Nothobranchius furzeri: one gene and its partner. The protein of the gene in region 2 interacts with the protein of the main gene of each other region in a pairwise test. Links are inferred from orthologs where the notes say so. Each region holds a gene or a part of one and is shown on either strand. Other genes may lie near its edges. The genes, in order: rassf2b and rassf5.

Region 1 (13,318 bases), on a different chromosome or scaffold from region 2:
TATCTAGGATTTTTAGAACGGATCAGAACCATTTGAGAATAAAATAAGAAAAGCATGAGTCGTTTTATTATTCATGCAGTCATTAAGGAACCTCACCGTCTGCATGCTCTTCCATGACGCCGTTGTCCTCAAGCTGATCATCAGGTGCCGTCACCTCCACGGTGGGCGGAGTCTGTGTGGAGGCCTGCTGGCCGTCTGTGTTGTTGGGGGAACTGCAAATAGAAAACAGTTGGGAAATATTTAAAAAGACAAAAGCAAAGAGCTGCATAAAAAGTTTAAATATCTAAAATATTTTAGAGATCAAAGTAGAGTTTAAATATGAGGTGTATGCAGCGCAGGTAAGGCTAGAGGCTGTATTCAGACATTTCTGCCAAGTAGCATTGATTTGATACTAAATTAATCTCAGTAGATTTAACAATAATTTTATTTTTCTTAACAATTTCAACACATTTAAAAAATAACTTAATGAAGACTCATTCTAAAATCAATTCACACACTCTGACCTTTCTAGGATAAATGTGATAGTCTATCTCCGCCCCCGCCGACCTGCTTCCAGTCACTGAGGTGTAACCGGATCAGTCTGGTTCACTTACTCTTGACTGTCCAGATTGCAGCCAGAGTGCCAGGATGTGGAAGAGGGCGGCGGTCGAATTCGCTCGTGGTCATCCTGCATCTGAAGCCTGATTGGTCGCCTCAGGCCCCAAAAGATATTTAGCAATCCCTCGACGATCAGCTCTCCTTCTTCCTGTTTGGAGGCAGAAACTATGATCAATGAACACACACCGCGGACTGTCACTACCCCTTTGGACTGGATGGTGTAATGCGTAGTGTGTGTTTTACTGCAAAGGACTGAGTGAAAATGTAAAAAGGTCAAACGGATTAAAGACTGAGAACATTGGGATCCTTTAGCAGAAATTTAGACACGAAAGTAACCGACAGCAGTGATTACTCACTTCTCTGTGCCGCAGCTGCAGATTCTGTCCCTCATAATAAAGGTTGTAGGTTTTAAGATGTGAGAGAACCGTTGCCCTGAGGACAGAAAAACTGAATCACTGCTGGAGAAAATGTTGTTTACAAAGAACCGGGCCAGTCGGAGTCAGGCAAACATTTTTACAGAACATAATAAATGAGGTTCAATTGATTTGCTGTAGTTAGAATTAAATTAAAGCTTTATTGCAATATAACAATTCTGCATGAACATGGAAACCTTTTCTTTTCTCAGCCATGCGCGTGTTAATCTCTTAATTCAATTCAATAAAAAAAAAAACTTTAATCATCCCCGAGGGGCAATTGTTTAGGCGTTTAGGGTCTGATTTTATAATAAACCAGGCAGTAAAACACCAGTTCTCAGTGGTCCTAAACTCAGAACCACATCTACCTTGTTGATGAATAAGGGCAGCTTGGGGTCTCTAATGTAGCGCGCCAAAACGTCTGTGCCCTCTCTAACCTGCTTCTCCGGAGGGAGCCTAAAGCTTGGTTTATGCTTGACGCGTCCGCGAGGTCCGCGCAGCAAAGTTGCATCATTTTAACAACCACGCCCCTCCACCGCGCACCTAGGAAATTTTCTAACCACGCGGACGGTCGGACGCGGAAAAACATGGCGGACTGGCAAGAACTAGTATGGCAGAGGTTCGTAAATACAGACATTTGTATGATTCAGCTCTCAGAGATCACCGTGATCAACATGTTGTTAATAATTCTTGGAGAGAAATAGCTCGCACTGTCGGAAAAGACGAGGACGCTGTTAAAAATGCTGGAATGCCGTGTTGTAAACAGTAATTTCTACTTCTACTATGGTGTAGTGTTGGATGCATGCCGTAGAGCTCCATGCTGCCCCCTACAGTTTGGGAGAATATTGGCTCACCGCAGAGACGAGCCGCACGAACCATAAACGCTGCGAGTTGTTAAGCATGTTCCATCTGCAAGCCGCATCACCAAGCGGGAAGTGAATGCGTCAAGCATAAACCAAGCTTAATAGCCTCTACACACTAGCTTCAGCTCCACTCTGCCTGGACCGAGTTGGGAGTTTTCTCATTCAGGCAGCCTTGAATTTTCCCGAGCGCAACCGGACGTCTTTTCAGCCTTCGTCGCCTAGAGCCAAACAGGGCCAACACACCCACTGCTGACTGATAGGCTTGCTCAAAAGCACGCCTACCCACGGGAGCTTCCCGCTTTTGTTTAATAATGGACCCGCCGCAGACTTCTCCGCGCTCTTTTTCCCCGCCCACGTGCTCGGAGATGCGCTCATGACATCACATCCGTATTCCTAAGGCAGTGTGGAACAAACGCGGCCGGGCTGGGCTTTAGTCTCAAACATTCACGGACATCATGTGTGAAACCCATGACACATATCAAACTGGATCAGAGAATTACTTTTAATGGCTCATAGATTCCCATTCATTTTTTGGGCAGTTGGGAACCCATGGTCCAGAAAAACATGGGCGTGGCTTAGGATTCCTATGCAAATTAGTAAAGGCCACAGAAACGGTTCGTTCTGAGAAGAGCGGGTTTAACACGTCATAAACAATGACTTACATTTGCATGTCTGAACTATTTTCAATGCTGGGAAAATGTAAATGTTGGTGGAGGTAAAGCTAACTGCAAAACAACTCTGGCCTGAGCCACCGCTAATGCTAGCTCGAGCTACTGCCAACATCCTTGTTGGATTTGAAGAAAATGACAAAGAGGAATGTCAGAGCAAACGTGTTCTGGGATGTACTGGGAATATCCAAACTATGAATGAATACCAGATAGATCCACAGCTTTCCTATCGAGTTATCTGGATACTGTGCAGCTGCAAAGAGTTTCTAACTTCAGGCTGCTAAAGCCGGGCGTACACTGTGTAACTTTTTCACTTTTATGAACCGATTTTCAACTCATGCGAGAATCCAGAAGATCAGGGCGAGTTTTGTGCTGAGCGGTCGTGTCGTGTACGAGAGGCGATTAACACCACGTGACCAGCTGCTGATCAGCAATGGTGAGCTCGCACGGACTTCTGGTGTTTGATATTTTGCTCGTCCCTCGTGAGGGTATCGCACTGTTGAAGCGGCGCTGCGAGCAGCTGTGACCCAAAAAGTACCAGAACCGCTCACGGCGCATGCACAGTCATGCATCAACGCCGCTCCCCGCTATTTCCCTAATAACACACATTGTTCATTTTTGTTTCTACACGTTTTTTTACTCTCAAAGTCTGTTCTAGAAAGCTTGTTTGTCGTGTTCATGTCAAATTAAACTGATCACAACACACAGATTTACTTTCTTTATTTCGTTTTCCTCATCCAAGCCCCATAAATCCCCGTGTGTCCTCCTGCAGCACTCCCGAAGGACAACAGATAAGACAAAAAAGTCTGACGTGTTGTGTAAAAACTGCTATTTTTAGCATATTTTTAGGTCCGACGTGTTGCTACCAGACGTACAGTGGGAGCGCATGGCTCGTGAGATCTGCCCTGCGAGGAAGTCGTACAGTTTGAGCTGAAGCTGAGTGCTACGAGTGAAAAAGTCGCACAGTGTCCGCCCGGCTTTAACCAGCATACTAGCACACAGCTCTGGGGCAAACCTTACTTTGAGTTTTAGGGCTTTGTTACGGGGTTGTGTTTGACCATTTCCAGAGCTCCTGGGTTATTTTGAGCCCCAACAAAGTTTCATTTGCTCTATAGAAGCTTGAAGAACAATTTCAAACATTTTTGTTTTGTAGCAAAAAAATAAATAAATAAATAAAAAGTTAAACCGCACAAATCAACAACAGCACACACACACACACACACGCAAAGCGTGAAAATGAATCCGTACTTGCTGATAAACTTGTTCTCTCCGATCTGCACCCCGTCCCGTATTTCATCCATTCTCAGCCAGCATGAGAGGAGCTGAGAGACAAAGAAGTAACAGAGTTAGTGTTCATACAACCGATTAGGTCTCATGACTCCTCATGACGAGTTCAGGCACAGAAAGGACAGTCTGAAGAGGAGTAACAGGACAGCAGGAAGAGGAGGAGAATGTTAAGCTCCAGACCGTAAACAATAACAGATCATATCTGCTTTCCTGTAAACCGTTTTCTGCCCCAAAATCCCCCAAAACAAAGCATCTCTAAGTAAGCTAAACATTTGCAGTTGCTTTAGTCTTATCTGTCCCATCAACATATAAACACATAATTCACACATGCAGCTGTTAAAACTGGCACTCAGCCTTCCCACTGTGAGGATTCAATGAGTGTTTTGTGTCCATTTGGCACGACAGAAGGTTTCGGAAAGACCTAAAACAGGTGTGGGACACACGAGCCACCTGCTGCTTAAACATTTATCTTTGACCACGTGACTGATAGTACACATAAACATTCATCCGTCATGTCTATAGCTATTAAACGAGCAAAAACAAAGCTAAACGCGTTTGAATTCAAATAATGTGTGTTTGAATTTCAGGAAGTAAAGCTGGTCACTGGGTCTGTGTGTCAGCGAATAAGGTTACATTTTAAAAAAGGAAATATTGAAGTAAAAATTATTTTTTTGTAGTTTTTAAAAACAGAAACACAAATATGAGACGAATACACGTTTAATTCCTCCTTACCGTAGTGAAGCTCGTAGATTTCTGCTGAATCACCAGAGAGGCGGAGTTTCCTGTGTGGAGAGAGAGTGAAGGGTTAAACAGGTTGACGGTTCGTATCCTCAGGTAGTGGGAATTGGTATAAAACGGCCCACGAGGGTCTTTTCTTCCGAGCGTGGCACTAACGGGGAGGAGAGTGTGTAAAAGGAAGTGCTCCCCTTCCGTCAAACAGCTTCCTCCTTTACTCAGTAAGTCACACAGGAAACTGACACTTCTTATACAGCCTAAAACTTCCTTAAACGACCATGGAGTAAGAGACATGATTAGATTCAGTGCTGATAAACAACCCAAGGCTGTCAATCTCTGAAATAAATGGACACGTTAAATATTAATTATCAATCAGCCAAGTCTCATGCCAAGAAGACCCATCAATATTTCAGCACCAATATTAGTCGTGTGAAGCTCCAACAGCTCACCGCTGACCTACACAATGGCAGTCATTAGGCTTTAATATCACGTATCAGGTAATGCTGACAAAGGCAGCTTCACTAAAAGACTATTAATGATGCCAATGGTCTGTGACAGAGGTGGTATCACAGGGCATCTTTACTGACATCTGATAACAAAAACAGGTTCAGACCAGAGTAGCTGCCGGCCTGGAGATAATGATCTAATCTGGATTAACTGATGCACTTGGTGTTGTTTTCATTTTGCACCCGGCTGAAGGGATCACAATTTTGTCAAACCACGGGACAAAGCTTTAAAATCTAAATGATCAGGAGTTAGTTTTTGTTGTTTTGTAACAGAGCACACCACTTTGACTTTAGGGATTAGCACCTGGCAGAAACAACGTGTAATCTAGAGAATAATCTGACTCAGTTTAACTGACCCGCTCTTAAATAGGTGTTGTTTTGTTGTGGTTGTTTTATCCCAGATGTTGAGCCAAAAGCACCAAGAGTCATGGCCAGCTTTAGCTTTTAACCCTCTCAGGCTCTAAATAAGTTTTGATAAAAGGACGAACATTTAAGTCCTTCAGGGGTGCTTCTGAGTTGAAAATGCTCATGAAGGACATACAGGGAGTAACCAGGTGGGTTTTAACTCTTGCAAATCTGCAACGCCCGGCTCCAGAGGGTTACTAACCAGAACTCCTCCTCTTTATAAGGATGATTTCTATTTTACACGAAGACCGAAGTAACAGAGCCAACATCGGCATATGAATACAAACAGATGAACTCATGCCTGACCCAGTTCTGTTTCACATCAGACTGCTGTTCTGGAAACCAGTCCAAATGCAACTAACTCCCCAGAGTACCGATACTCGCTTTACGCCTCGTTCTCCTCAGTCTGCTCCGTTGTTCAGGCTCATAACCACTCAGTATACGAACGTCCAATTCATTCAAGTCATCTGGAAACTGTGACCCATGCCTTTGTTACCTGCAGGCTGGATTATTGCAACTCGCTATATTGCCGGGGCTTAGGCAAGCTCCAGTAGCTCGGTTGTTAACATCTACCGGGAGGTCTGAACATATTACACCAGTCCTACGTGCCTTGCATTGGCTCCCTGTCTCCTATCGCATCAGGTTTAAGGTTATCCTGTTTGTGTTTAAGGCGTTAAACTCAGGGGCACCTAAATACCTTTCTGACATCATCCACCGACATGTCCCGGTGCGTTCCCTTAGGTCAGCTGACCAGAGACTATTAACCGTGCCCAGGTACAGCCTGAAGTCTCGTGGGAGTCGTGCCTTTTCAGCGCTCGGACCAAGTCTTTGGAATGAGCTGCAAGCCGACGTAAAGCAGGCCAAATCACTGGAGACCTTTAAAAGCCGACTAAAAACACATCTGTTCTCGCTGGCGTTTGGACACTGAAGTTGGGATTGCGTGGGCAGCATCACTTTGAATGTGTCTGGATCTGATTCTAGAAAAAGGACTGATATGGACTGAGAACTTGTACTCGGGATTTCTTATTGTATTTTAAATGGTTATATGTCTGTTTTATTGTTGTGATTTTTATTGGTGTACAGCGCTTTGTCTGTCCGTTTTGGGCATGTGAAAGCACTTTATAAATAAAGTTGATTTGATCCTGCCATGATCGTCTCATTCAGCTTCACCCAACACTCCAACTTCCTGACTTCTTTTCCCCGAATACCTTTCATTCACATACACGTTGCCTTTTTTCTGCCCTCTTGCCCCATCGGCTCCAAACCTCCTCTGTCAACGTCTTACCCCTTGCTGAGACGGTCCCTGAATAGCCCCAAACCTCCCCCTGTCCTCTCCCAAAACCCACCATCCTGCTTTCCAGCCTCTGCATCACTACTGCTTGTATTGTCACTATTGCCATAGCAACACCAAGAAAAAAGTCAGCTCTGACAACTGGCCTACAATGCTGGGCCAAAAATAGTGTTTCTGCTTCTGGAGTTGTCAAAAACCCTGCAAGGCCGAATCCAAAACGGCTTCAGGTTCCAGCCAGATCTGCTGGTCACTCTTCACTAAATGCAAAGCTGCAAATTCCTGTAAAAATAGGTAGCATTGTTTTAATTGTATAGTTATTTATAACAAATCTTTGGAGCTTTGTAAGACAGAACAAGCTGCCCTATAGATCACTGAAAACCTGCAAAAGGTCTAATTTTGATCTAACTTCCAATGATAGTGAACCTAAGCTCTGGTTTTCTTTGGGAATCTAATGTTTTTCTAGCCTGGCAAGCCAGACTAAATAAATTCAACTTTAACTAATAAAATTTGCACAGGAATAATTTGGTTCACTAGGCTACTACTCACCATCACTAAAATGCTTCAGAAACACCAAAAACCAAAGAAGAAAACTTGGATTAACCGAATGTGCACTTCCTCTGTGTGGCTGCCATGTGTGCTGAGAGGAATCTTAAACATCTCCTGCTTATGCAACCCGTTTTCTTCAGACATGGTTAAATGAACTCCGTTATTAGACCCAATCAGGGCTGGACTGGGACAAAAATTCAGCCCGGGCATTTTGACTGGAGACCGGCCCATCACCTGTTTTTTTTGGAAAAGACATTAAGCCTTATGCTGTTTCTGACACACACCAACGTACACTTTCTTATTGGTAGTATTTATGTATCAATCTAATAAACGTAAACCTACACCATCCTTCCTATCCTGGTATTCTAAAAAGTAGGGTAGGGGGTAACTGATTATTTTTAAAATGATTATTCTGACGATTATTTTATCGAAAAGTCGACTATTCTAATGACTATTTAGATGATTAATCTAGCGATTACTTTTCTATTGCACAATTAATAAAAACCAAAAAATTCTCAAATAAATTCCTCCAAAAAATTGATAAGTTGTTACTGTAAGAGAATAAACACTACAGGCCTTCCATTTTGTATAACACTGCTTTTATTGTGTTGCGGTTGGTTATGTTCTGGTGACGTGTAGAACTTGGGAGTGCAGGCTGCTGCCTGAGAGGTGGTTGGAGACGGAGTGTCTCCATGCTGCTTTGTTTTGTTCACTTATGTGCATGAGGCAAGTGGTGTTACGACCCTTCCTGGGGAGTCACGTGTTTCTCCTATTTTAACTGTAAATCCTTCTAGCTGTTATATTTATAACAAGAAACAGATATTCGGACAGAATATTTTCACGTTTATTCGAATATGATTGTGGAACACACCCAGCATCATAATACATGAAGTAATATTTATGCCAATTTAAGCCTTTATGGGTGACCAGGACTCTGTGTTTATGAATGTGGAAGACACCCAGCATCCTGTGATGGCACTAATAACATCAAGAGATAATAAATAAGGTAATATTTAGGTCAATTTAACCCTTTACACGTGACCAGGACACTGTAATCAATTTTTGGCAAGGGAAATGATCATTTGTTGCCATTTTTGAGGTGTTTATGAATGTGAAAGACACCGGCATCCTGTGATGGCACTAATAACATCAAGAGATAATAAATAAAGTAATATTTAGGTAAATGTAACCCTTTACAGGTGACCAGGACACTGTAATCAATTTTTGGCAAGGGAAATTATCTTCTTTTTTTTTTTTTTTTTTTTTTTTGCCATTTTTGGGGTGTTTTTGATGACACAGTAGGCAGTATGAGTACAGTAACGTCAACAGATAATACATAAAACCCTTATTTGGTCAATTTTAGCCTCCATGAAAATCTTAGCGATTCAATCACTTTTTGGCAAGTAAAATGCCATTTTAGTTGTCTACAATTAAATCATCAATAAAGAATTTAAAGATATTTTGAGGCATTTCTTATAGGTAAACTGGAGGGTGTAGTCTATTTGGCAAGTGACAATCTTGATTTTATGTGCTGAAGTGCTTTTATCTTGTTACTTTTAAATAGAGCAACGTAATGTAAAGATAGCAACCTACACAGTGTCATTGTAAAGCCAAAGCTTGATCATTTTAAATACTTTTTTTCAAGTAAAAATGTGCCCCAAACTAGTTAACTGTGGCTCCATGTCAAGTGGACTAAAGAAGGGAAGGGGAAAAAATTAAATCGCTGGAGAATTGTTTATTTCCATTTATACAACGTTTACATTCAATACAGGGTGCCATTTTACATTGTTTATTTATTTTTTTAGTATCAAGGCTGTAACATAAAGAAAGCCAGTTCTTACCACAAAGTTTGTGGCACAAACCATCTTTCAATCGCAAATATTGCAAAAAGGATTAATATATCCTCATTGTGAACGTTTAAGACAAATAGCAACACTTAAAACAACTTCCGAACTGGAAAAACTAATGCGGCAAGGTGGAGAAACGAGTGCCCGGGCGGGATTCGACCCCAGACTCCCGGGTGGAAGTCAAACACTCTAACCAGTCAGCCAAAGGAACATCTCTTTGGACAAGTAGCCAGGGCTCATCATCAATCGGGATGTTGTGGATGCTCACACTGCCACATCTTCCTCCCTCTTTCCACAAGCACGTCCTCGTGCTCCCGCGCAGGGTGCCACAAACACTGCCACACTAATATCCGCGATAAACATCTGTTTAAGTACCGGAAGAGGTTATCTTTGCTTTCTGAATGTCCATATTGCTAGATATGCTGAGTTTTAGGGCGAAATCCTGGGGAATTTTGTCTAGAAATGCAATTGCCTAACCGTGCGCGATCCCGCGGTGGCTAATCATTTTTTGGCAGCGAGTCAATTTATGGCACAACACCGGCTCGGGTTTCTCCTTCTCCTCCCTCTTTTCTTCTCCAACCTGTCGCTGGGCTGAGGCTCCATCACTTCCTTAATTGATTTTACTTGAACCTTCACTACCAAACAACTGTGAGATTTTAACACATGTGCCAGCATCAGCCTGAAGGGCCAGTTTCTTTTTTAGTCGAATTTTCTCCGCTTCTCCTTTCCGTTTTTTGTTCTCCATTTTGTTAAGCTCGTCTGTCTGTTTACTGAGATTCACAAACAACTGGCGGGTGCATCAGACCTCTGGCTATTGGTCCAGCCCAGAGTGTATTATTACCAATTGGCCAATCCACCAACTTTTACGAGGCGTCGCGTGGGGCGGCGCGGGCAAGTTGTCCGCAACAACTAGAGGCCAGGAAAAAAAAAAAAAAAAACAGACACCGGCCCATAAAAGATGAAAGGGTCGGCCCAGCGGGCAGTTGCCCGCTATGCCCTATGGTCAGTCCAGCGCTGGACCCAATGCGTCAAACAGAAGCAGTTTCGGTCGTTTTATGTTCAAGGTTTGTTCTGAAAAAGCTAAACTACGTAAAAATGTGTCATTGAGGCTTTTTTTTTGGTGATAAGCGATTTAAATTTAACCTATTCTTCTACCTAAACAAATAAACCACCCACTCAAGAGCATTTCGTTACACCTTCCTAAAGAAATCATCACAATAACCCGAGTTAGCTACAGCGACCCTTGTGATTGTATCACGCCGACTTTCGGGGACCCTTTAACGGCTAACCTACCGTGTTTCTCCTCGGTTCCGCTGCTCCTTCCTCCTCGGTTGTCCGTTAACGGTTGACTCGTGCTTCTACCGTTGGAAACAAACAGCAGGGGCGACTAGTGCGGCTGGGAGTCCAGAAGAACTGGTAGGAGGAGAAGTGGTCCATCTGCTGTGGCAGAGCTCTCAGAAGCGTCGCGCGAGACCGACGTGCCTTTGTTGTTCACGTCGCGCGCAGAAATGAATGAAAACGTGACAACAATGGGGGAAAAACGAGGACGCGCGCGCACACAGTTCATTGTTATTAAAAGGACCTCGTCTTCATTGCGAATGAGAAAAATGCTCAAGTTTAAGCAAACTAGTCAAACATGTTCGTTCCTGTTTTACAAGACGTTTATTTGTATTCATTTACTCAGACCAGTAGGTAATTTCTTAAGCCTTGGTTCGATATAATTGAAACCACGTCACTTTCACAATAAAAAAGACAACTTTTCCAAACTCAATAAAAAAGGCGATCCCCTCTTCTAAAACAACGATTTAACTGTGACCGACAGCATTCTTTGGAAAGCTGATCTCCGTTTCACCAACCACACCCAGGCCTGATTACTAGATCTAAAAGACCCATTTCTATAGAACCTGACTGACACGTGACAAAAGAAGAGATAACAAGCAGACTTGAAATATTACGATCTAAAATAAAAGGAATAAACAAAAAATAAGTTCTCACTGACGGGGTGAAATAAATAAATACGGTATCGTTATCGGTAAGTTAACCGATACCAGTGCAGTTGCTTGAAAGTGGCTTCACTGTAACTTATTTCTGTTCACCTTATATTTTAGTTTTGTGACCTTTTCTATTATTAAATTTAATGTTTTATTTACCTTAGTCTTTTTCTGTTGAAAGCAGAGAAGAAAACAAAACCTGTATTCCAATTCATTGCATTTTTTAAAATTTACTAAGCAAACATTTACTAAAATAACCAGTGATGGGTTATTTGATGAGGCGATGGGAGTTGTTTACCAACGAATTAAACTCTGCATGTGCAATATCGACCCCTGCTGGCCAATTGGTGGCATTACTAAACTGAGAGAAAAGACACAAGACAGAATTATTTAACTTCTTATTAAATATTTTTAAGAACAAAGAATAAATCATTTTATTGTTACAATTAGTTTACACAATTCATCTTCCTGAATATTCTGTAAACATTAAATATACATGTTTTTGATTTCTTTACATCTACTTTTCTCAACTTGCTCTTTTGATTTATACTGGTAATGTGTAACATGAGCAGAAAACAATGTTAAAGAGTAAAAAAATACAATATGTTAAGGTCCTAAGAGGCAGAAAGATGTCATTAAACCACAAACTTCAAATCGATATATACTTTTAAATAAAAAGTATAACAAGATGGTGCACTTTTCAGCATGATTTAAGATTAAAAGTAGATTTTTATTACAAATATCTGCTTGCAAAAACATAAAAATGATGTATAAAAACAAACACTGAAAACGATAAAACTCTTTACACAGAAATATAATCATCAGGTAGAGCCCCCTTCAAAATAACTGAAAGGGATCAATATCTTTGTGTTTTAACCTAATGGTTACCTTCTTAAGAGCCATCAGTTCAACTGCCTCTAATGTAAATCGGGCCAGAAAAAGAAGACTTTACTGTAAATGGGCTACTTCTGTAACAACTCCTAAAATAGGAAATACATTTTTTTTAGCGTTGGGGGTCAAAAACAGCAGGAAGCAGTTTTTAGGCACATCACGACTAATATTCATCTTTATGTGACAAGGCAGGTTCACTCAGCTGCCAATAACAAGGCTCTTAACAAGGTGACCAGCAGGTGTCGTCCTCCTGCATCCAGACGCATGAAGAGAGAAGGGTTAGGGTTAGGAGAGCCAATTGGAGGGGAGACAAAAAAAAAAAAGGTCTTAATGTGCAGGATATTGTGTGTTCATGTTATGTAAAAAACATCCATGTTGTTCTCAGAGAAAACTTAGTAGGTTACAACTGTTCTGACTGCTGCTTCATCAGCAGAAGCTTCTGCTGCAATCTACACAGTGAGCAAAAACATAAACAACATCAGCGCGTTGCGTCGATAACTCCACTAGAGCTGCTTCAGCTCAGCACAGAAATCCGATGAGGTTTTAGATTTATTCACCTCTCTGACAACATCTTTTTCCTCATCTCTGCACTTTTCATGCTCGTTTCTTCCATCTTATCCAGCATAAATTAGTCACTGCTAATATTTGATGACGCGGATGTTTAAACCCACCATTTACACAGATTCAGTCCCCTGATTAAAGCATCGCCACCTTAGTGCATTTCCAAAGCCCTGGACTGCATTTCAACAATAGAATGTTGTTTTTCCAGCCAGCTGTTGATGCACATAGAGGACCTCAACAGTTTTCTTTTCTTAATGTGAAAGATTAAATCTAAGCGTTTTATTAACAAGTTTATTTCCTTTTGATTTAATTCCACAGTCATTTGTACCACAAACCCTTGTCGACTCATTAAAAAGCCCACTTTTGAGAATTATTCACAAATTTAGACAAAATTCAGCAAACTTTAGCAAAGAATGAGTGATTAGGGTCATTTTTCCTGTGGCGGATGAACTAAAATCAACTTAAAAAAAACCTGTTCTCTTTACTAAATTATATTACTGTATTATTTGAACAGTTAAAATAAAAAATTAAACTTTTGTTTAAATTTAGTGGCCCATGAGTACCTACATTGTGTTGAAAGGTTTGGACATCCCTGCTTTATCTGGATGAATATAAAGTCGTCACAAAAGCAGCTGATAGGATTGGGGTTGATTCATTGAAATTATTAATTATTACTTTATGTCATAACATATACTGCCCCAAACGTAAATTAATAAT
Region 2 (16,229 bases):
AGATTTATGTTCCATTGAAGGCTTTTACCTCCATCCAGCCGCTCCTTGATTGCCTGAGTGAGGTTAAAGACTGGCTGTCAGCAAATCTTTTGCTGCTGAATGATTTTAAGACCGAGTTTATTGTTTTTACTCCTAATGGCTCGTCTTCCTCCGCTCCTGATTTTTCTGCTCTTCCTTTTAAAATTAGTCAAACAATTGTTAATCTTGGAATTAAAATGGATGTGGCTCTAAAAATGGACTCTCACGTTAATCACATGGTTAAATAATGTTTTTATCAGCTGAGACGTCTTTCCAAACTAAAACCCATTCTGAATCGGCGCCACCTCGAGACAACCATTCACGCTTTCATCACCTCAAGGTTGGACTACTCCAACGCAATTCTGTTTGGTATTTCAAAGGCCGCATTATCTCGCCTTCAGCTGATACAAAATACGACGGCAAGATTTCTGACCAATACTGGCCGTCGTCAGCACATCACTCCAATTTTATCAAGACTTCACTGGCTTCCTGTGCACTACCGCATACGTTTAAAAATTTTATTGTTTGTTTTTAAGGCGCTGAATGGCTTAGCACCACCCTACATATCCGAGTTACTCACTCCTTATGTGCCAGGCAGGACTCTCCGTTCAGGTGACCTACACCTACTACAGATTCCCCGTCAACGCTGCAAAACCCGTGGTGAACGAGCTTTTTCTGTCTGCGCTCCAAAATTTTGGAATGACCTCCCACTGAATATCAGAATCTCCTCCTCCATTGGGGTTTTTAAGTCCCACTTAAAGACTTATTTTTATTCTCTTGCTTTTACTACCTAGCTATTTTATCGATGGTTTATTTACACTGTTCGTTTACTGATTTTATTGACTTCTCATGGTTCTTTGTGTTTTGCTCTAGTTGTTTCATTCTTTTATATTATTCTTTTAACCCTATATGTTTTTACCCCTGTACAGCACTTTGGTCAGCTCACATGCTGTTTTTAAATGTGCTTTATCAAATAAATGGAATGTAATGGAATGGAATGTAGTCTAGGAAGTGCTGTTGCAGGGGCACGTCCAGAAAAGGGTGGCCAGATGGGGACCACTGATGATCTCAGGCTGCCACATTAAAACCGAGTCAGACAGGTCTCTAGTTTATCACAGGAGCACTCAGAGATAAATAACTACACATTACCTAACCTGCATGTTTTTGTTCTGTGGGAGGAACCCGGAGAACCCACGCATGCATGAGGAGAACATAATAACTTTATGCTGAAAGGATGCAACTGGGATTCAAACCTGTAACCTTCTTGCTGCTTGGCCACAGAGCTACCAACTGAACCACCGTGGTGCCATTCCCTGTTATTTATTTTGGCTTGAACTGACTAGACATTATAACAACACGTATGTTTGATTTGAACTGATACAGTTTCTTGAATTTTTGTAGGTGAGAACTGAAGTCAATCATGGCCATGAAAATACATTGATACATAATGTTCCATGGAAAATAATAATAAAAAAAGAGCTTATTTTTTGTGTGTCCAAGAAACCTAAAAGGAGCTATTTATTTACTGTCTTTTGGACAAAAATAAAAAAGTGACAGATCAGAATCTGGACTACTGCAAAACTTTGACACTGGAAGGTTGGACAAAACATACTGTATTAATATAGGAAAAATAAACCAGATGTGTTTTTTTATATTTTGTAATTTCCACAGCAAGAAAAAAGCAATGAAATATATTTTATTTTACAGCTTTTAAATAATTTGAGGCACTAGAAGCTACAAAACAATGAAAATAATAACATTAGAATAACAATATTAATAAGGTAAAATAAAGTGATGAACAGAACCGGTGACAAAGGGCAGCCCTGGCGGAGTCCAACCCTCACTGGGAACAGGTCCGACTTACTACCGGCTATGCGGACCAAACTCACGCTCCTCTGGTAAAGGGACTGAATGGCCCTTAACAGAAAGCCACCCACCCCATACTCCTGGAGCGTCCCCCACAGGGTGCCCCTGGGGACACGGTCATTCATCACTTTTATGGACAGAATTTCTAGACGCAGCCGTGGTGTGGAGTGTGTCGAGTTTGGTGGCAGGAGAATCTCGTCTCTGCTTTTTGCGGATGATGTGGTCCTCCTAGCTTCATCCAGCTCTGACCTTCAGCTCTTGCTGGGTAGGTTCGCGGCCGAATGTGAAGCGGCTGGGATGAGGATCAGCACCTCCAAATCTGAGACCATGGTTCTCGACCGGAAAAGGGTGGCTTGCCACCTCCGGGTCGGGGGAGAGGTCCTACCTCAAGTGGAGGAGTTTAAGTATCTCGGGGTCTTGTTCACGAGTGAGGGTAGGAGGGATCGGGAGATCGACAGGCGGATTGGTTCGGCGTCTGCAGTGATGCGGACGCTGAGCCGATCTGTCGTGGGGAAGAGGGAGCTGAGCCAGAAAGCCAGGCTCTCGATTTACCGGTCGATCTACGTCCCAATCCTCACCTATGGTCATGAGCTTTGGGTAATGACCGAAAGAACGAGATCGCGGATACAAGCGGCCGAAATGAGTTTCCTCCGTAGGGTGGCCGGGCTCAGCCTTAGAGATAGGGTGAGGAGCTCGGACATTCGGGAGGGACTCGGAGTAGAACCGCTGCTCCTCCGGATCGAAAGGAGCCAGTTGAGGTGGTTTGGGCATCTGGTCAGGATGCCTCCTGGACGCCTCCCTGGGGAGGTGTTTCGGGCATGTCCTGCCGGCAGAAGGCCCCCGGGTCGACCCAGGACACGTTGGAGAAGTTATATCTCCAATCTGGTCCGGGAACGCCTTGGGGTCCTGCCGGAGGAGCTGGTGGACAAGGCCGGGGAGAGGACGGCCTGGAGCTCCCTAGTTGGGATGCTGCCCCCGCGACCCGGACCCGGATAAGCGGAGGAAGACGAGACGAATAAGGTAAAATAATGACTTGGAATAATTTTAATTTTTTTTTAAACATCCTCATATTTTTGTTTTATTTTTCCCGTCACATTTTTTTTCTTTTTGTGCAATTCAAACTCTGACCTCTAGTTGGCAGCAGTGTGCAATGGATTTTATTCTCTATTATGGTTCAGATATTTCATGTTAAATATGTTATGTTTAAGTTTGGACTCTTTATGAACATTTCCTACAATAAATTCAGTCTAAAAAATATCATCTGGCTTAGTGTATCGCAATACATTCGTGATATATTGTATCGTCTCTCCTGTATCGTGGTATATATCGTATCACCAGATTTATGCTAATACCCCTAAGTGTGACTATTTTTTTTTACATTTAAAGCTAATTATTTCAATGGTCCAGCATTCTTCTACCTCCAATAACTTTTTATTACTAAAACAAAAAATAATCCAACTTATTTGACAACTAAGTAAAAGTGTCAGATTGTCAGGATAACCTTTATTTTAAATTGTGCCACACAAATATTAAGCTAGGAGCTAGTCCATCTAAGTAGCACCAGACATCAACATCTGGCCTGATGTGTACTGCGAGCCAAAAATGACATGCGACTCTGCATTTGTTTCAAGTCGACATGGATGTAATTCATTCACTCTACACAACACACATACACGTGCTCTCTCCAGCTGGCTAATCTGGAGCAAAAGGCTCAGCTCTGGAAATAATTCATGAAGAACAGAGGATCTGAACTCCACTGCCTGGATGGATGTGATCACTTTTGTCGGTGAGTTAAAGACCCTGCAACACGTTTATTTAGAGTTTTACAGACTACAGTGATGCTTCTTCCAGTCACAGAGAAGAGATTTGAATTTCTCTTTATCATATTCAAACACAAAGCCACAACAGAGAGCTGATTAGAATACGCTTCCTTCTGAAGCAGCTGAAACACTCCTACTCTCTAGCTAACAGGTCAGATGTTTAGCTCCCACCATTGTCTCTGGCTTCAGGGTAATCAGCCTGGATGCTGACAGGCCACACTGCCTAACCTCTATACCCCTTTGTGTCAGCATGGCAGCAACCCTAACTCTGCATGCTGACAACACAGCTGGTCAATTATTCAGAGATCAGAGCTTTTCCGAGTCCGACTCTGTAGGGAGAGCAGGACAGGGACAGCACAAGGATGTCACGCATCAAAAGGACCGCCGTCACCTGTCCTTCCACTGCACCGTTTTACTGACAGTCAATCAGCCGTTAAGCACTGAACCTCTCTGGTAAACAATCAGCAATCTAAAAGGGCCGCTAGTGGTGTTTTACAAAATTATGTGTCAATGCAGATCAGAGAGATCTTTGAAAATGCAAAACAAACCAGGAGTTGCTATGGTAACTACAAAGTATGGGTAAGCAGACACCAATTTTTGCAAATATGCACGTGCGTGCACACACACACACTTGCACACATGTGCACATGCATGCACACACACACTCAATGTAGAAAGGAAACCAATATGGAGTCTGGCAGTTAAGATCATTAACCAACACACACATTATCTCTGCAGGCTGCATTTAGAGGTGAACAACCCCCTACACACACACACACACACACACACACACACACACACACACACACACACACACACACACACACACACACACACACACACACACACACACACACAAAGTGATCTGGTCCTAGTGAATCTATGCGAGTCTGATTGATAAACGAGCAGCTTGAAGCACTAAGGCTGATGAACCAGTTACACAATGCAGATGTCTGACGGTAACCTCCTCCTACATTCTCACAACACACACACACACACACACACACACACACACACACACACACACACACACACACACACACACACACACACACACACACACACACACCTAAAGGCCTGCTCAAACATCACCACTTCCTCTCCTGACTTCTGCTTTCGAGCTACATGTTACTTATTTTAAATTTTTTATGAAATAAATGTCAGCTTCTCTCCTGTTCTCACTGAAACATTCACTTGTCATCAATCTAAGGCTTCCTTGTTGTCATGAAATCCTCCATCGGTGCAATTCTGATCTTTACCTTGGCTGCATGCTTGGGTTTGCGGAAGAACGAGGTCTTAGCGGTAAAGAAGGTGAAGTCCTCGCTCTCCTCATCCAGGCTGCAGTACCCGCTGCTCATGCTGTTACTGCCGGTCATGGAGGTGGTCAGCACCGTACTGACAGTCATGGAGAAGTCCACGAGGACAGCTACCAGCACCAGAATAGCACCAGAACAGCGCCCAGGCAGCGCGTTGACAGGTTGGAGCAAGCGTCTGATGGGTTGTCCCGGAATGAAGTGACACAAAGTTTCCTTTGCTCATCCACAAGCGGTTTAGTGCTCCTCCGCCGACGCCATTCAGAAAGTTCCACCTGCGAGGGGTGAAGCAGGTGAGATTGGCTTGAAATCGGCTCTTTGAGTGCCACTGGAGAGGAGACCAGGAAATATGAGAACGAGCACAGACGTGTCACTTCCTCCTGATGAGCGTGTGCTCGAGAATGCTCTGATGCTGGTGTCAAAAACAGGCCGAGGAGGACCTGGCTGTCTGCAGCTCACTTGCACTTATTCACACATAGTTTGGTCGTCCTTCATGCAGGCAGACGTCAGTGTGGCGGAGTCAGTTTACAGGCTGGTTTTAGGTTAGCCCTGCACACCTGAGAGCACCTGTTCTACTCACAAAACAAGTAAAGGCATTCATGCAAAACCACATCCTCCTTTGGTCCAGCGGCACGGCTGCAAAGGAATAAACTCAAGTCCAGGTTTCAGAAGCAGCGTTGGTTTGTTAGGGCATCCGTCCACGTCTGGAGTCAACAGCACGCAGTGGCTGAGTTTATTTTGTCTGCAGCGACAAGACTCCTCTCTCCATTGCTTTGACGAGAAGAAAGTGATTCCTCCCACACAAGCTCCTCTCTGCCTCTGCAACCGTTTTCTCTCCCTCACTCTCTCACAACCATCTGTGGTTGAGTGTGTTATCAGGCTGAGAGTACCCTCCCCCTTCTCCCTCTTCTCCCTCCTCTCTCTGTCTCTCTTCCTGCAGGCAACTGCACCCTGCAGAGCACGGCCACTTCCTCCCACAGAAGACGAAAGCAAGAGAGAGGGAGAGGCGTGAATAAACAGAAAGAGAAACGTCGATGAGTTAGAGACATGAAGCCGATCAAAGATGCCGTTTACACTGAATATGTAGACAGGAAGCAGCAGTGGGGTGAGGGAGGCATGGCTGCACGCCATGCTTGACTGGAAACCAGAACCAGAGGTTAGTATATTAAACACAATCTAGAACAACTCAAAATTATCATGATATTGGTGAAGAGGTGGGTTAACAGCGACCTCTGACCTTTTATTGACCACATGATCTGCCCTTCCACTCTGGCAGCCACCTCCCCCTGTCCTAAAGCAGCTAGCATCCCAGCCATCCATGACAACGATGGCACAAGCTGCTTTTGTGAAATGAGTCAAATAATCTGCACAGGCACAGAAAAAAGGGACAACTTAGATTTGGAAGATCTTGTAATCTGTTGCCTTCAGTGACCATCTCCGGATTTTCTCCTAGGCCCTATCGATGCATGGCGGGGTGCTACACATCAACACGCATGCATAGGAAACGACCGTGCCTGCTGGTTTCAGGTCAATAAAACCTGCCTGGTGCATCGACTTGTGCAGTTTGGGGATCAATTTTTGCTGAGATACACAGTAAGCAAAAGAAGAATAGAGGGAAACACTCACACACACATCTACTGAAAGATTACAGCGAAGGCAGAAAAACAGAACTGCAGGAAATAACCTGTCATGTTTTTCTCTTTGGTCTGCAGAGCTGCTGTGGTAGACAGTATGAACCAAGCCACAGCGAGCACGAATACAAGCCTCAATCACTGAGCTCAGATACCTGCAGGACAGACGGCGTGCATTCTGATTCGTGTGTAATTAGGTCAACACTGATTTTGCTCACAGAGATCAGTTTGCACAAATATAAGATTCATTTGAGTCTTTTTACATCCCTGAACACAAGTTCTTTACCTAAGAGTTCACTTTAAAACATATACATCATGTTTATTTTCATTACAGAGTCCTCTCGCTGTCTGTTTCATTTTGTAAGCATCCAGCTTTTATTTGTTGGTTCTTTAACTTTCATTAAGTAATAAAACCAGGGTTGTTTTACTGCTAAAGTACAAAAGGCAGGAAGTGATGGTTTTGTGTGTCTGTTAGCAAAATATCTCATGATTCACAAGGTACTAATGAATATGTCAGAGAATAATCATTGTATCTAAATCTGAATAATATTTGGAATTCACCTCATTAAATATGGCCGCCGCACACATATGAATGTGGCTCAGTCAATTTATTCGTTATTGGGCTCACATTGAACATGTAAAGACCGGGTCACATGACAAGATAATCACCAGGATTCTCCCCATCCAACAGTCTTTAGGAGTTCAGATAATCCTGCCGTGTGTGGTGTGTTAGGAGCGATCTGGTCTGCTGGGAAGCACGCCGCGACTGCTAACATTATAAATTGGGGATATTGAACATGTTGAACTGTAGTTTGCTCAGTGTTAAAGACAAACAAGCATGCTTCCCGTTGAAGTTTATTTACTCTTAATTCACGCTTGATATCGAGAGGTTTTAGTGAGATTTCCTGTCTGACCGCAATTTGTGTGCAGATTTTGTCGTTTGGCTGGACACAGTATGACCAAAACTGTCACTTCCATGATTTTTTTGTCATAACGTGTGTGGTTTCTTGTACGCAAATGTTAAATGTCTGCCATGTGAACTAGGTCTTCGCTGACGAGTCATTTCAAAATTTGACCTAAGCAGCCATACCTCAGAGGCTCAAGCAGGTTGGTTCAACCAAGCGTAGGTTTTTGGAGATGATGCATCTTTACGAAACACTAGATTATTGTGGTTAATTTGCAGAATTACGAATCAGTCTTAATGTTGTTTCCAGAGAATGGAGAGATAGAGAGAGAGAGAGAGAGAGAGAGAGAGAGAGAGAGAGAGAGAGAGAGAGAGAGAGAGAGAGAGAGAGAGAGAGAAATTGCTGAGCCACAGATGCGTTGCCATGACGGTCCCAGGAGAAATCACAGATTAACCTAATTGGTTTTCCTCTATTTGGGAACACACAAGGAAGTCAGGGTATTATGATCTGGTAATAACTAAATAAACCTGCAGCAGAGAGAGATGATGGAAAGACTAAACATGAGGAGGAGGAGGGTGGAGGCAGAAGCAACTAAAATAGCACATGAGTGGACTGAGTTCAGTGTGTGGAAGGTCTTCACTTCCATTCTTTTCTCTAAATAAATGCTCAGTCTCCAGAGGACTCACCTTGATTGGAGGAGCCGTGGAGGAGCAGGGGCTTCTAGGATGTGGGCTTTCCTGTGGCTCTCTGTTCCTCTGGTAGCAGTCAAGCTGGACATGACTCTTACACTCCAGGTGGCAGGTGTAGCTGCAGTCTACATAACAAAACACAACAATATAATGTATTTATCATAACAAATACACTACAGTTATCCTTCTAAGAGACTATAAAGATGGTTTGTGACTTGCAAGAGGGTGAGTTAGAAATTAAGACAATGGCTCCATCTAGTGGCAGAAATCAGTCATAAATTACTTATTCCTGCACACTGAAGATACACAAATAAACAAAATGAGATACCACGGCTAAATGACCATTAATGTATTAGGAGATCTATAAATTGCGATCTCATTAATGTAGCTGCCTTTTCTGTTCAAGCCTCTTCAAGTACAGGTGCATTAGAAGGTCGATAATGGATACATCAAGGAGCTAATGGCTGCTGACAAACATAATGTCCCACAGCAATAGATCGACTCCACTTAAACACTCAAAGCTGGAAAAAGGTTGGCAGGTTCAGCTCTCACCTGCTTTAGAGATACAGGAATAAACCAAATTAGTTCCAGTCTGTTGTTCTACATTTTCCAGCTAGTTCCCCATTACGCCTCTCAGAGCTAGTTGTGGTCACAGACTTTCGCACTGATCTCCTTTCTCCCCAGCTGGTGGCATGTTAACGCCAGTCTTGTAGTCAAGTCGCCATATCTCGAGTCCAAGTCACACTTGAGTCCCTAGTTTTAGAGTCCAAGTGAAATCCAAGTTGAGTTTCAGTCAAGTCCCTTGGTCTCACAATTCACATCCAAGTCCCAAAAGATTTCCAGTTTAACCTCCACTTGCTACATTTACACCCAGAAAATTAAGTGAAATTGCTATTGTCAATTCTAGCATGCTAACGATGCTAACATTAGCTTAGGTCAGATTACTGGACAACTCTGGTTACATGTCACATACCCTAAGTGGACAGGTGGCATGTTGATTATTGTTTTCAGTTAAGCATGTTATATTATTTTGCTGCATGCTGCTTTGTTAGCTTGGTGGTAATGTAGGGACATTCAGATGTCCTAGTCTTGTCTTCTATTGTCCTCCTGCATTTCATACATCTGATGCAGATTTCTCCTCACTCTGAGAAGAAATCTATTAAAGCAAATTGCACCACACGTCTGGACTCCCCTTGTTATGTTGGATACTTCAAACAAGTCGCGCCACATTTCCACATGTTAGGGTATGAGTCCAAGCTTAAGTCCAAGTTCAGGTCCAAGTGCAAGTCATCGCCATGCTCCTTGAGTCAACTCACAAACGTGACTTGAATTCAGACTCAAACCCAGTCTGAAATGAAGTACCTAATCACTGGTTAATGCTAACAGAAGGAGAGCGAGCTGTACAGGATCTTCTGGAATTGTTTTTCCTGGGATGTTTTTTATTATATTTGTAATTTTTGGCTGATTTTAGTGTGGCTCTGGAAAGAATGGGAGGCACTGATGCATTACTTACATTCCCGTCACCATGGTAATGAGGAATTTGATGGCCAGTGCCTCCCTAAAAACACCTGATCTCCTGGAAATGAATGCTACATTAATAAAAGATTAGATTACTGTATGTCTTTATTCAAATCATTAAAAAAACTGTAGCTTTTCCAACTCTGTGGTAAAGAGGGGTAAAGGCAGAGGGAGCTAGTGGTGAAGCTCCTGTTAATGATGTGTGTCTGACTGAGTGGTTAGCAGAGATCCAGAGTGAGAGGGAAAGGGTGAATCACCTCCATGACAGGGTGGGATGTGTCAAGAACAGGAGAGGCTTCAGATAAGGGATGCTCCGCTCAGGACAGTTTAGAGGTCACTGCAGATAAACAGAGGCAAAGGAAGCCACCATGGGAATGGGAAAAGAGAAACTCCTTTCCTGTCCTTGTCTTTCCATCCATCTATAATGTGGACAGACACTTTTATTGCCTCCACCTTTGGGGCAGATTTACGCTCATCTTGCCACCTTTCAAGAAATTAATTAGCATGGATTTACGGTCTGTTTAGGTCGATGAGTTGTGGGATTCGTTTTGAATGTTAAAAGTAAAACTTGAGCCAAGCTTCGGGCATGTCGACACAAGAAAGAGTGAAAGAGAAAGTGTGGAGATAAAATCAGGTTTAACTGTCTAATGTTGTTGAATGGAGTGTTGGACCTTTACAGTTCACTGGAACCAGCTGGGGGAGTTTCCCTTGTCTCCTCTCTGGAAAGTACGTTGCTTCACAAGCTGTCAGATGAAGAAGTTGATTAATTTAGAACATCCAACTTCTGGAGATGTCGGGGGTTTCGATGTAAAAAACTCAAAAGAATAGCCAACTCATCTAGAGACTTGGACAAGAATGACCTTCAGAGGGAGGCTGACAGAGAAAGTACATTACTTGATCTATTCAAATAACGACTGGTCACTCTGAGTTTCAAATGCATGAAAATAGTCTTCAATCTCTATCGTCCACATTAGTCAAGAAAGAAAACAGACGAGGGGTTGCCACTTGTTTGTTTTGAAACATGGGTTGGAGTACCCACATTTGATCACAAAAGATTCAATAACCCAAATTTCCCAGACAGAGAGAGATCCAGGACGATGTTGCAGAGTGACGGATGAAAAAGTCCCTCCCACCAGTCCAATGGAGGAGACGCATGTAAAGATCTTTTTGTGATGGTTGTATTAAAGGAGCCATATCATGCTATTTTAAATAGTTGAAAGCAAAGGTAGGAAAATATATGAATATATTACTGTGAGATGTCATTCTGCCTGAATTTAAACGTTTGTTTCAGTGAAACTCCGCCCACTCCGACAAAACGCATCTACAAGTTAGTCAAGCTTGCTGTTGTTTTGGCCTTGATAGTCAGCTGGTCAAAGGCACCTGCCTTTCATCTTGTTTTGCCATTTGCTGACGCAACTCCTGGTGGAGTTTAATCAATTCTGACTGGAATACTGATGCTACTGAAGGTGAGAAAGGTACACATTCAGAACAGAGAAGACAGATGGTTTGAGAGAGGAGTACAGGAAGACTTCTATGTCAAATGAGAAAAGCCGACATTAAATAAAAGAGGAGGACTCAGGTTTCACCTTTCCAGCAGCTATAATGCAGCTCTGAACCTAATTCCAAGTTTCAGTATAGGACTAGATCGCACTCTCTAGCATCTAATCAATACTACTCCCAAACAATAGATGCTAATGACCTCAACGGGGGTAGGTTAAATGGGTTTTCATCAATGGTGAAATGGTCCATTGGGGGGCGCTAAGATGCCACTCCACTAGTCTTACAAGAAGAAGATAGGAATCACAAATGGATACAAAAAAAAAAACATGAAAAATAAACTAAGTGATCGATACATCATACAGACTATAAGTGCTGTGTATAATCTGCATTTAAGTGTAGTTTAAAAATGTTATTTCACCGAATCATCTTGTGACATATTTCCTGTTACTTTCTGGCGCAGCAAACGCTACCACTGATCTACGCTAACTGGTGCATGTGCACTGGATCCCCCCCACTACAAAGAATAGGAGAACCTTTGGGTGCAAAGGTTTTGTGACCAAAACCGGGTGGAGTCTCAGCTCAGCTCAGTTCAGGATGTTCACCCTGAACCGGAAGCTCTCCACACTTCATCTTTTTTTTTGTTCACTGTTCTTTGTTTTAGAACAGCTGAGTACACCTTGTGTAGTTTTTTTTAATGATGCACCGAGATGACATTTTTGGGCCGATACCGATAACCGATATAAAGATCACTGTTATGGCCGATATCGATACCAATATACTGACATCAATGCTTCTAAAATCAGCAGATTTTGTATAGAATGAAAATTATTAAAACTGAATTTATGTTATTATGTACACACACCACACACATTTACGTTTCTGAGAAGATTTCATTCACTGTTGACATGACTAAACAATTACACATCACCCCCACCCCCACCCACCCTCTGAAACAGGCAATCAAATGGAGACGAGATGGAAAAAATATTGGTTGTTAATATCGGCCCGGTTTTATTTATCGAACCGATACCAATATGTTAAAAAAATGACTAACATCGACCGATACCGATATTGATGCCGATATACTGTCCATCCCTAGTTTTTTAATTATGAAAAACCAGAAAATTATGGAATGCTGCATCAGAGATGTGTAAACCCTCTAAAGCAGTTAAAAAAAAAGCACAAGACCGTCATGAATCACCTTAGTGTGACGTTGGGACATTGGATGACAGGAACCAAGTAGTTTTTTTTTTTACAATAACACAGATTATTATGACTAAAAACCAGCAAATGTAACATTGAATTTATGCTTTTGACTTCATGACATTAGTTTTGTTTGCTTTGCGTTGCTCTATGAGTTTTGCAGGTAGAGTAATGGTACTCATATTAGTGTAAAGAGGACAATCTAAGCTATAATTTAAATAGCTGCTTCTGTGGATGGGATCATGTTTCATTGTTGCTAATGTGTGTTTTTCTTGATATGTGTATTTTGCTTTTTTCAGTCTTTTTAATTTGGTGCCATTGTCGATTCATAAGAATGATAATTTGGCACCCCCAGTGGCGATATGTGGTTAGCACATCTAACATCTAAGTGTGTCCCACCCAAGCCCCCACAATGCGGGACAGAAATTGAGTCCAATGCGAAAGTGAAATAAATTGCAGTTCCACCCTCATCCGCTGGGGGCTGGTGTCAGAAGTGAGCTAATCCTCATTGACTCCCATGTTAAAAATACCAATTTCACAGCATAAATAAACACGTTTACAGCCTGGTACCAAAACATGTTTTTGGTTTAAATGATCTAGTTTACACTCATGACAACTCTGAGGGGGGTGAATTTTTTTCTCACTCTTCTGTTTAAGTGTATTAAAAGCTTAAAATTCTGTACAATTAATGAGCATCCGACCCACGTGACCACAGAGCTAGCTCCGGGGAAAGGCTTCAGTCTGAGCCTCAGCCTCGCCTGAAAACTGTTCGGTCATTTTCAGTCTCTCAACTTAGACCATTAGTTGTGCCGTTTGCGTATCCTTTTTTGGATGTTTTTTGTGCAATTGTTGGACAAAATGACTTGTTGTGGCATTAATTGCACTAATAGAGCATCCAAGGAGTCTCCACTTCATTTATTTCAGTAAGTAAAATTATATTTATGTATTTTAGGTCACTGCCGAGCTGAGCTTAGATTTTAACATGTACTGTTTAACCATGAAATTTAAATGTAATAGGGTAAAACCCAGTGCATTTAACATAATGCTGCACTTTAGAAAATGGGTTGAAATATAACGTGTTGGTGGAGCTGGGTTCCGACTATCGGCTTGTGGAGCTCTCGGGAGACAGATGTTTTCCACCCGGTTCTCCCCTCCCCGCAGCTCGGCGCATCTCTGATCGCGGCTTCTGTGTGCTGCGCGGGCTGACGGCTTGTGGAGCTCTGGGATGGAAACCTTTCCACCCGGTTCTCCCCAGCGGCAGCTCTGCGCATCTCAGATCGCAGCGGCGCTTGTCTGCTGTGCGGCTGCCGGCTTGTTGAGCTCTCGGGTGACCTCTGTGTTCCACCCGGTTTTACCCAGCGGTCAGCCCGGCGTATCTCTGACTCAGAAGCTCTGGTGTTGTGCACAGTTAACTCCGGTTGTAGCTAGGTTGCTACCTCCGTTAGCTTAGCTCCCACCTCTGCGTTAGCTTTGGGTTAGCTTCAGGTTAGCTTGTAGCTAGTTCGACTGGGTGTCATCAGTTGATCCCAGCCTTACAGCCCCACCCTCAGCTCCACCTCTCTTCCCTTTTGTGGAATTGTCTGGGCTTGACGGAACCTGTGACACGGTCAAAATGGCGGTGGTAGCTACCTCCCATTTTTCTTCAAAAACGTGTTATTGGAGTCTATGGAAACCCATTGTCCATATATGTATATGTCGATGGTCCCACCCCAAAAGAAAAAAAAATCACCAGCATCTTAACCACTAGACTATAATGTATCTTATAAAACAATAGCTGCCTAACACAGACATCCTGTGCTGGCCATTGCATGCATCTAAGTAGACAGGATGCACAGTCTTTATGGTGGTGTTTTGCCCCCGATGCAGAAGTTAAGGAAAACTCCAAATTTGCAGCTGATACAGGAAAATACATGAATGCAGTCAAAAATGGGTTTGGGGATTGTTTTCATGAGGAAATAACAATATCACATGGCAAAAAGCTACAAAAAAGTAGATTTTCCACGATATGGTCCCTTTAACATCCACTGCTGCAGAGATCAACAGCAGCGGCTGCAGAAAGAAAATATTTAGCAACTCAAGGACACTGCCTCTCATTTCTGTTCATTATTGTCTTTATATGAAGCCAGAATGTTTTCTCTCATCAGCTTCATTTTAATGTAACCTGAGATGTTCCTGTGTGTGCAATCACAACCTGTACTAAGACAGGAATGACCAGATAGGTGATATGGGTGGTTGTTTTTATTTCTGAGACAGTGGGTGTGAGGCAGACAGAAGAGTGTGGAAAACACTGATTAGGAGACTTTCTCGGGTCACAGAGGATGTCTGTATGGCAGCAGATAGAGAGGGGCTGTCTGGTTTGGGATAGAGGGGTTAGGTAGCTTTAACATGAGAGCAAATGTATTAACACAGTCTCTAATGAACCTAAAGCAGGCTGCGCAGGTCTAAGGAGGAGTTTAAAGCAGCTTTGGGGGTCTTTGGGGGCTTTAGCACGTCTGATCCTGTCACAGCTGATTTGGAGCAGTTATATCTGCTCTCCTTTGTGTAAACCTTGGAAGAAAGAACACCCTTTAACTCAGTCTTTCCATCCTCACCAGGATAATATTCTTCTGACCCACTAGACAGAACTGAACATGTCTAATCCCAGAAATACATAAAAGATTACACACACACACACCCTCCCAAATCTGTGTGTGTTTGTGTTTTACGTTTGACGCTGCTAATCTCCATCAGAAGAGTCTTGCGTCCTCTCTTTAGAGCTCCATCTGTGCAGCTACAGATGCTCCCTAAACGAACCAAACAAACATCCTGCAAATCTTGATTTATTTACTGTCTGCAAACAAACACAGCTGGGTAAAATTAGTTTGCTTCGTGAGAATGTTTTTGTGGACCGACAACATCAGTGAAAGCTTCAGGAAGTAAAAAAAAAAAAAAAAAAAAAAAACATGGTGTAAATTCATCTTTACATCTGTGCTATTAAAGAACCATATCTGCAGAAGACTCTTTAGACACAGCCAAAAGCCACCTCATCTAGATGTTTACATTAGAATTCATTTTTGGGAGCAATAACAGATTGTGGCTGTCTGGTTTATTCGCTCAGGTTCTCAAACTTGCTCTCTGTTCACTCAGCATTAATCAGCCTACCTGAGCCATGCCTGACAGTCTGACTGCACTACTTAAAGGTCTCCTCTTGTTTTTTCAGTGCATTTGCTGTAGTTTCTAGTAATGATGAATGCACTTGTGAGTTGTTTTCTTTGGAAAAAGAGCTCTGGTGCTCCTGTTTTGGGAAGCAGAATTTTGAGGGCTGGGGGACGAAAATGGCAGGATTATATGTTTATGTTAATGTATTTAGCAGACGCTTTTGTCCAAAGCGACTAACAAGTTATAATCGGCATGTTGCCCTTGAGGCTAACAACAACAATAACAGCAGCAACAACAACAACAACAAACAATTTCCAGTCAGTCATAGGTGGCAGTGAGGCAGCATGATGAATCATGGAGAGGAGGGAACAAGGAGTGGACAGTAGAGAGGGGGGACAGGTGCAGGGAGGGTGCTAGTTAAGAAGATGCTCTCTGAAGAGCAGGGTCTTCAGGAGTTTCTTGAAAATTGAAAAGGAAGCACCTGTTCTGGTAGTGCTTGGAAGGTCATTCCACATTTGTGGAACGATGCATGAGAAGAGTCTGGATTGTCCTGAGCGTGGTGTAGACACTGCTAGCCGACGATCCTGTGATGACCGGAGCGGCCGGGCCGGGCCGAGACGTAAGCCTT

Evidence for each region.
Region 1: the proteins of rassf5 (region 2) and rassf2b interact in binary tests that used the Homo sapiens proteins (3 or more experiments, as listed by UniProt). The link is inferred for Nothobranchius furzeri from reciprocal best matches to the Homo sapiens genes RASSF5 and RASSF2.

The regions. Positions count from the first base shown.
Region 1 is NC_091757.1:55,228,465-55,241,782, reverse strand, and holds the start of rassf2b (ras association domain-containing protein 2b), read right to left. Parts: upstream 4,920-13,318; 5' UTR 4,858-4,919; coding exon 4,561-4,857; intron 3,864-4,560; coding exon 3,790-3,863; intron 1,030-3,789; coding exon 954-1,029; intron 746-953; coding exon 594-745; intron 213-593; coding exon 97-212; intron 1-96. UniProt on the Homo sapiens protein: Potential tumor suppressor. Acts as a KRAS-specific effector protein. May promote apoptosis and cell cycle arrest. Stabilizes STK3/MST2 by protecting it from proteasomal degradation.
Region 2 is NC_091743.1:51,035,511-51,051,739, forward strand, and holds part of rassf5 (ras association domain-containing protein 5), read right to left. Parts: intron 8,368-16,229; coding exon 8,240-8,367; intron 5,247-8,239; exon of another isoform or gene 5,111-5,246; coding exon of another isoform or gene 4,964-5,110; intron 1-4,963. UniProt on the Homo sapiens protein: Potential tumor suppressor. Seems to be involved in lymphocyte adhesion by linking RAP1A activation upon T-cell receptor or chemokine stimulation to integrin activation.